Linked DNA regions of Mus musculus. The protein of the gene in region 1 purifies or fractionates together with the protein of each later gene. This does not show direct contact. Links are inferred from orthologs where the notes say so. Each region holds a gene or a part of one and is shown in the gene's direction. Other genes may lie near its edges.

What was found.
Region 2: the proteins of Ppp2r1b (region 1) and Strn3 purify together in Homo sapiens (co-immunoprecipitation; 5 studies listed by BioGRID and IntAct, with this or other methods). This does not show direct contact. The link is inferred for Mus musculus from reciprocal best matches to the Homo sapiens genes PPP2R1B and STRN3.

Annotation. Positions count from the first base shown.
Region 1 is NC_000075.6:50,866,721-50,870,539, forward strand, and holds part of Ppp2r1b (serine/threonine-protein phosphatase 2A 65 kDa regulatory subunit A beta isoform), read left to right. Parts: intron 1-107; coding exon 108-222; intron 223-605; coding exon 606-676; intron 677-942; coding exon 943-1,077; intron 1,078-3,342; coding exon 3,343-3,516; intron 3,517-3,819. UniProt on the Homo sapiens protein: The PR65 subunit of protein phosphatase 2A serves as a scaffolding molecule to coordinate the assembly of the catalytic subunit and a variable regulatory B subunit.
Region 2 is NC_000078.6:51,650,198-51,654,016, reverse strand, and holds part of Strn3 (striatin-3), read left to right. Parts: intron 1-1,171; coding exon 1,172-1,345; intron 1,346-3,786; coding exon 3,787-3,819. UniProt on the Homo sapiens protein: Calmodulin-binding scaffolding protein which is the center of the striatin-interacting phosphatase and kinase (STRIPAK) complexes.

The DNA of each region.
Region 1 (3,819 bases):
CTGCTTAATCTTTCCATTTTGGTTACAGCATGCTTTTGATGATTGTACTATTTTCTGTTTTTACTATTATGCTAGTATACAGTAAACCTGTATAAATTGTTTTCTAGCTCCAGAAAGCGGTGGGCCCTAAGATTGCACTCAGCGACCTCATCCCCGCCTTCCAGAGCCTCCTCCGAGACTGCGAAGCTGAAGTCCGAGCAGCCGCTGCCCACAAAGTAAGAGGTGAGACTGGCCGTGGGGTCCTTTGACTTTGGTGGTGTCAGCTCGCTATAGTTTGGTTTGGTTAGGACCGAAAACATAAACCAGGGAGAGATGAGTCCACGCAGCAGCATTTCCGCCCACGCTGATGCATTTGTTGTGTTAGGAAGTTTGGCATGGTTTTGATTTATAAGATGCTGCAGACGGATGGCACCAGCATGGCAGGTGGCACCGTCAGACTGTCCCATAGGTTAGGTCAGGAGGGCCTCCAGGCTGTGCTGTGTGGACCAGGCTTACTGCCCCTCCACACTTTATTTGCTCAGACTGACTTAACTTGGACTGTTGGGAAGAGCTGGGTAATTGTCTTTGGCTCCTTGACAGCATTGCCTTTTCTGTTTCTGTTTCAGAGCTTTGTGAGAACCTGCCCGCTGAAGGTAGAGAGACTGTAATTATGAATCAAATCCTGCCCTATATAAAGGTGAATGTGACTTCATTTTATTTTGTTTACTCTACCTACGAAGCTCTTAGCATCTAAAGAAGGAAGAGGCATAAATTAATCAAATACATAATAACATTAGTGCAAATGTTTAGAGTTGATTTGTGCGCGTTGCACTGTAGAGCTTGTGGGCGCATAGCTGTTACTACAGACGGCCAGGTCAGCTGTGCTGTTGGCTGGTGCTGCTGTGGACTCCTCGGGAGGTGCTGTAGAGGCTTTTGTTGTCTTTAATTTTTATTCTCTTTTAGGAATTAGTGTCTGATACCAACCAACATGTCAAGTCAGCGCTAGCTTCTGTAATTATGGGATTATCTACAGTTTTGGGCAAAGAGAATACCATTGAACATCTTCTGCCTCTATTTTTAGCTCAGTTAAAGGACGAGGTGAGTCTGGGTATGAATCCTTTTGCTTTGATATAATTGATTTGATATGATTTTGTTTCTTTTTTTTTCTTTTGGGTTTTCTGAGACAGGATTTCTTTGTGTAGCCCTGGCTGTCCTGGAACTTGTCGCTTTGTAGACCAGGCTGGCCTTGCACTTAGAGATCCATCTGCCTCTCTCTGTCTCCCAAGTGCTGGGACTAAAGGGACTGTAAAGCTTTGGTTTGGTGATTTTACTAAAATAGGACCCAAAGTGTAAAGATGGGGAAAATCATAGTCTAGATATTTGACAGTCCTTCTGTTTGGGTGTAGGGCTACAGGTTTCCCCAAAAATGGGCACAAGGACTAACTAAAAACAAACCAACTGGGTGTGGTGGAGCATGCCTTTAATCCCAGCACTCTGAAGGCTGAGGCAGGGGGATCTCTGAGTTCAAGGCCAGCCTGGTCCATAGGTCAAGTTCCAGGACAGTCAGGGTTACCCAGAGAAACCCTGTCTCTAAAACCAGAATCAACCAAACAACCAAAAAAGAGGAGCTGGAGAGGGAGGGAGCCTCGTAGCAAACAGCACTGGCTCATTCTTGGTTTGGTTCCCAGAACCCACATGGGTTCCTCAACTGTCAGTGGCTCTAGTTCAGGGATCTGATGCCTCTGTGGTCACCCGCAGGCACCAGGCACACAAATAGTGCATAAACATGTTCATGCAAAACAGTCATGAAATAAGTCTTAAAACCATCCAAGAAATGCCTATTAAATGTTTTATATTATAGTCACTGATTCCTTATATTTAAAGCTCATATATCTTTGCTTAAACTGTGTCTTTTTATTTAAGTTTAAAGTGTAGCTTCAGATACTAACATTTAGTGGCTGGAGATTTGGCTCAGCAGTTAGGAGGCCTGTCGCTTGTAGAGGACTAGAGCTCCAGTTCTGGTGGCCATGTTGAGTGGCCCTCAACTGTTCATAACTCCATCTCCAGAGGGTCTGGTCCCTTGCTGGCCTTTGTGGGCACACACACACACACACACACACACACACACACACACACACACACACACACACACACACACGGGCACATGTGCACGTTACACAGACAATACATACATTCGGATAAAAATGTAACAGGTAGTGCCAGGCATGGTCTGAGAGCTTTGGATATGTCATTAACTGTAACTGCTGCAGTGGGCTCTGGGCTTGGTTCCTCCCGGTGTAGAGGAAGGAGAGACCAGGGAGTAAGATGTCTGCGGTCTCCCTGCAGTGGCAGAGCTGAGTCCCAGGGCCTGGGCCCTTTACATCTCATAGACTCTGTGCTTACTTATTAATTAAAAGTCTGAAAATCTTTATTATTATGTGAGCGAGCGTACACTGTGTGCACATACAGAGTTCAGAGGCTGTCTCTGTGGAGTCCGTTCTCTCCATCCACTTTATGTTGGATGTTCTGGGGATAACTCATGTTCTGGGGATCGGATCCTGGCTGCTAGGTTTGTGAGGGAAGCCCCTCTTTCTGCTCAGCCATCTCGCCTGCCAATTTGTTAATTGATTTTTTAACTTAGTGTACAATCTCCCGTAGATGGATGGTACAGGCTTTTTACTGACGTGTGGCTAAGGTCAGTGACATTGTATCTGTGCACTTAGTGTTAAGGATTTCCTTCTGCAGTAGCTTTTCTATAGTTCTGGTGGTTGAGTCCAGGGCTCTGCAGGATGGACGAATGCCTTTCCTACCCAGCCACACCACAGCTTACCCCCACCTTTTAAAGCCTGAGCCTTTTCTTTTCTTTTCTTTTCTTTTCTTTTCTTTTCTTTTCTTTTCTTTTCTTTTTCTTTCCCTTTCCCTTTCCCTTTCCCTTTCCCTTTCCCTTTCCCTTTCCCTTTCCCTTTCCCTTTCCCTTTCCCTTTCCCTTTCCCTTTCCCTTTCCCTTTCCTTTTCCTTTTCCTTTTCCTTTTTTCCTTCCTTCCTTCCTTCCTCTCTTTTTCTTTCTTTCTTGTTTTTTTTGGTTTGTTTGTTTTTGTTTTTTTGTTTTTTTTTAAGATGGGAGTCTATCTGTGTATCCCTGGCTGTCCTGGAACTCACGTTGTAGACCAGGCTGGTCTTGAACTCAAGAGATCTGCCTGCCTCCACTGCCCAAGTGCTGGGTTTAAAGGTGTGCGCCACCACCCAGATTAGTACTTTTTAATTTGAAATTCTACTTAGCACTTTTTATTTTCTCATGCCAGGAGACTACTGGGCAAAAGAGTTAATTTTCACATGTAGTCTCTGGGGCTTGTGTGTTTATAGTGTCCAGAAGTTCGTTTAAATATCATCTCCAATTTGGATTGTGTGAATGAAGTGATTGGAATCCGTCAGCTCTCTCAGTCTCTCCTTCCGGCCATAGTGGAACTGGCTGAAGATGCCAAGTGGAGGGTCCGCCTGGCTATCATTGAGTACATGCCGCTGCTGGCTGGCCAGCTGGTGAGTACCTGGGCTTTGCCATGGTTTGAGGGTGGTTTTGGTTTTCAGTGATCTATTATGGCCTAACAGGAGGGTGGTGCAGAAACACAGTCACCTTGCTGCCTCCTCAGGTTGAAGGTGTAGAATGTGCTTCTGTGATAGCAATGTTGTATTATTTAAACCCTATATAATTTAAGGACTCGTGTATGGAAGGGAAAATACAGTTTCAGGATAAGTCGGTTTGGCTTTTTGTTTGACTCTGTCCTAAGCAAAATGAATTTGGGAGCAATTTTTTCTGCATCCTGATGAAAAGTTGAAGATCCA
Region 2 (3,819 bases), on another chromosome or scaffold:
CTTTTCTTTTTTTCTTTTTTAAGATTTATTTAATTTATATGAGTACAATGTTGCTGTCTTCAGACACCCCAGAAGAGGGCATCCCATCCAATTACAGATGGTTGTGAGCCACCATGTGGTTGCTGGGAATTGAACTCAGGACCTCTGGCAGAGCAGTCAGTGCTCTTAACCCCTGAGTCATCTCTCCAGCCCAGGTTCTTTTTCTTATAGTTGGAAATTTTGCTACTTGTATCCTACTGATAACCCTGGTGAAATTAAAGTCATAGCCTATTAAGTATTTGGTTTAGATGAGTGAACTTTGGAGGAATGGTCTGGAATCTGAGATCCTTGAGGGGGGATTAGTCCATCTATCAATCCCTGGCTGAGAACTTATTCTTTCACATACCTTGAACATGTGAAAATTGTGTATTTGTGCTTACATGTATGTGTATAAATTTACATATCTATTCTTTAAATAGATACTTATATGTGTCTATATAAAGGCATGTAACCTGTGTTTATGTATCTCAAAAACGTTTCAACACTGAGGCTTTTTTAGGTATTGAGATAATTGGCTCTTACTCAATGGTAGTTAGTCATACTCTCCCCTCCCCTTCCCCTCCTCCCTCTTCCTTTCTCTTCTCTTCTCTTCTCTCCCCTCCCCTTCCCCTCCTCCCTCTTCCCTTCTCTTCTCTTCTCTTCTCTTCTCTTCTCTTCTCTTCTCTTCTCTTCTCTTCTCTTCTCTTCTCTCCCCTCCCCTTCCCCTCCCCCTCCCCCTCCCCCTCCCTCTCCTCTCTTCAAGACAGGATTCTCTGGCTATCCTGGAACGCCTATAGATTAGGCTGCCTCTGCATCCTGAGTACTGGGATCAAAGGTGTGCACCACCACACCTGCCTTAATTCATTTTTTAAAAAAGATTGTTTTATGTATATGAGTTTTGTCTGGATGTATACATGTGCACCACATATATGCTGATTGCCTACATAAGTCAGAGGGGAGGGTATAGGATGTCCTGGAACTTAAAGTTGACATCATTCTCTTAGACCTGGAATTAGGCTATAACGAAGCTATTGAGACAAAGAAAAAGTTAATTTGTGTGATTGTGGCTTTTTTTCTTTAATTTTTAATATGATTTGAAGGTGGCAGATGTTAACAATATGTTGAATTTTAGCATTTAATTTTCTCTTGATAGGTATCTTCAGGAAGTAGGATACACAGATACAATATTAGATGTACGATCTCAACGGGTAAGGTCATTACTTGGACTGTCTAATTCAGAGCCAAATGGATCTGTAGAAGCAAAGAATTTAGAACAGATCTTGAATGGTGGTGAATCTCCTAAGCAAAAAGGACAAGAAATCAAAAGGTATGATTTGTATTTGTTGATTAACATCATTTAACTTATGGAAGTCAAAATCAGTGATACAACAGTGGCTTTTCATTGGTAGTCTCATTTTCTTTCCTTTTTTTTTTTTTTAAGATGAGCCAGGTTTTTTTTTTTTTTTTTAAGATTTATTTATTTATTTATTATATGTAAGTACATTGTAGCCGTCCTCAGACACTCCAGAAGAGAGGGTCAGATCTTGTTACGGATGGTTGTGAGCCACCATGTGGTTGCTGGGACTTGAACTCTGGACCTTCGGAAGAGCAGTCGGGTGCTCTAACCCACTGAGCCATCTCACCAGCCCTATATTTTCTATAGTTGCATTTATTGTTAGATATTAAATGAATCTATCAAAGCCACTTTTTTATATATAGTAGTAAAATAGATTATTGTTATTAGCTGTTACTGGAGTAGTTTTGAAATACTTGAAAACATTTTAATAGATTAAAGATACTTATTTGCTGTATAAAAAAAATTGATGCTCACAGTCATCTATAGGATGGAACACAGGGTCCCCAATGGAGGAGCTAGAGAAAGTATTCAAGGAGCTGAAGTGGTCTGCAACCCTATAGGTGGAACAACAATATGAACTACCCAGTATCCCCCAGAGCTTGTGTCTCTAGCTGCATATGTATCAGAAGATGGCCTAGTCAGCCATCATTGGGAAGAGAGGCCCCTTGGTCTAGCAAACTTTATATGCCTCAGTATAGGGGAACACCAGGGCCAAGAAGTGGGAGTGAGTGGGTAGGGGAGCGGGGCGGGGGAGAGTATAGGGAACTTTTGGGATAGCATTTGAAATGTAAATGAAGAAAATATCTAATAAAAAATGTCGGGGGGGGGGAGATTTATAAGATGGATTGGTACCTCTCGGGTTTAGGAACCCTAACTAGATAATGGAAGGGAATGAAGAAATTACAGACATTGGACACATATACACAGGAAAACTGGGATGGCTTCCTGGACACTCTGATGGAGAAGTACATCACCCAGAAAGCTTAGTGTGTTTATTATATAAAACTGAACAAGGAAGTGGGGGTTATGGTGTACAGCTGAATAAGGAGGTTAGCTAGTCTTGGTAAGGAGCAGTCCCCACAGGGGAGCAGTCCTCACAGGGGAGCGAGCAGTCTTCAGGACCTTCATTTCTGGGTTTGGGGGTTAGAAAGCTACTATGGGCATTTCTACACAAACTGTTAGCATTCACAATTGGATCAGAGGAAGGTTTTGCTACCACATTGAGCCTCATCCTGTAAAGGGTTTGCAACCCCCATGGGGCTGAGGTTTAGTCACTCGGGTCTTTTTTTTTTTCTTTTTGTATTTTTGAGACAAGGTTCTTTAGGTGGCTCTGGCTGGCCTATAACTCAAAGATCTTCCTGCTTCTGCCACCCAACCACTGGGTTGATCAAAATCATGCATATGACCACACCAAGCCTGGATCGCTCATGTCAACAACGTACATCTACTCAGAACTTCCTCTGCTCCCCAGAGTGGTATATCTTGTGTAATATATGCTTTATAATTTTAAATATGGGCAGTTCTAATAAATTTAGCTTTTGTGTTTTACTATTTAGCCTTCCAATATTTAGGCTAAAGTATAAGTGGTTGTAAATATTAAAAAAATTGCTAACTTGTTTTTTAAATATTTTTCAGAAATAATAGCATGTTTGATCATTTAATCTTAGTAGATTATTTTTCTTTTTAAAGACTTATTTTTAATTATGCTGGGGTGTGTGTGTGTGTGAGATGGGAGGTTATGTACATATAAGTTGTAAGTGCGTGCAAAGGCTCAAAGAAGGCATTGTATCCATTAGAGCCAAAGTTCATACCATTGTAAGCCACCTGATGTGGGTGTTGGGACCCAAACTCAGGTCTACTGAAAGATCTCTTACCTATAGTCTTACCTGCTGAGCCATTTTCCGTCCCCAGATTTTATTTTCTTATAGCATTTACCTAAAATGTAGACAAAAAGCTTTGGTTGAAACTTATTAAACACAGAACAATCCTTATTTTAATTATAGAGCACAAATAATCTTTAAAGATACTCTAGAATAAAAGTTTTAGGCACTATATTATAATTAAGGTATCTTGAACCAGGAGCCTACTGGGAAAGGAGGATCAGGAGTTAAAGGTTATTTTCATCAACATAATGAGTTGAGACTAATCTGAATTATGTAAGATCTTGTCTCACAACAACAAAAAATTAGGTTGTGTTTGAATTGCAGATGCCACCTTCAAGTAGTTTTAAACTAGGAATTAGAAGGGTCAGAATGTGGATTATTGATTTAACACTTGTCTAGCATGTGTGACATCCTGGGTTCAATTTGTAGTATCACTAGATAACAAGAAGGGTATAGGAATAGAAAGCAGGAAGAAATACCAGAGTCAATCTTTGAAATAGTTGGAATCATCTTTTCTCTTTTCTACAGGCCCCCTGGTGATGTTCTCGAGACATTCAATTT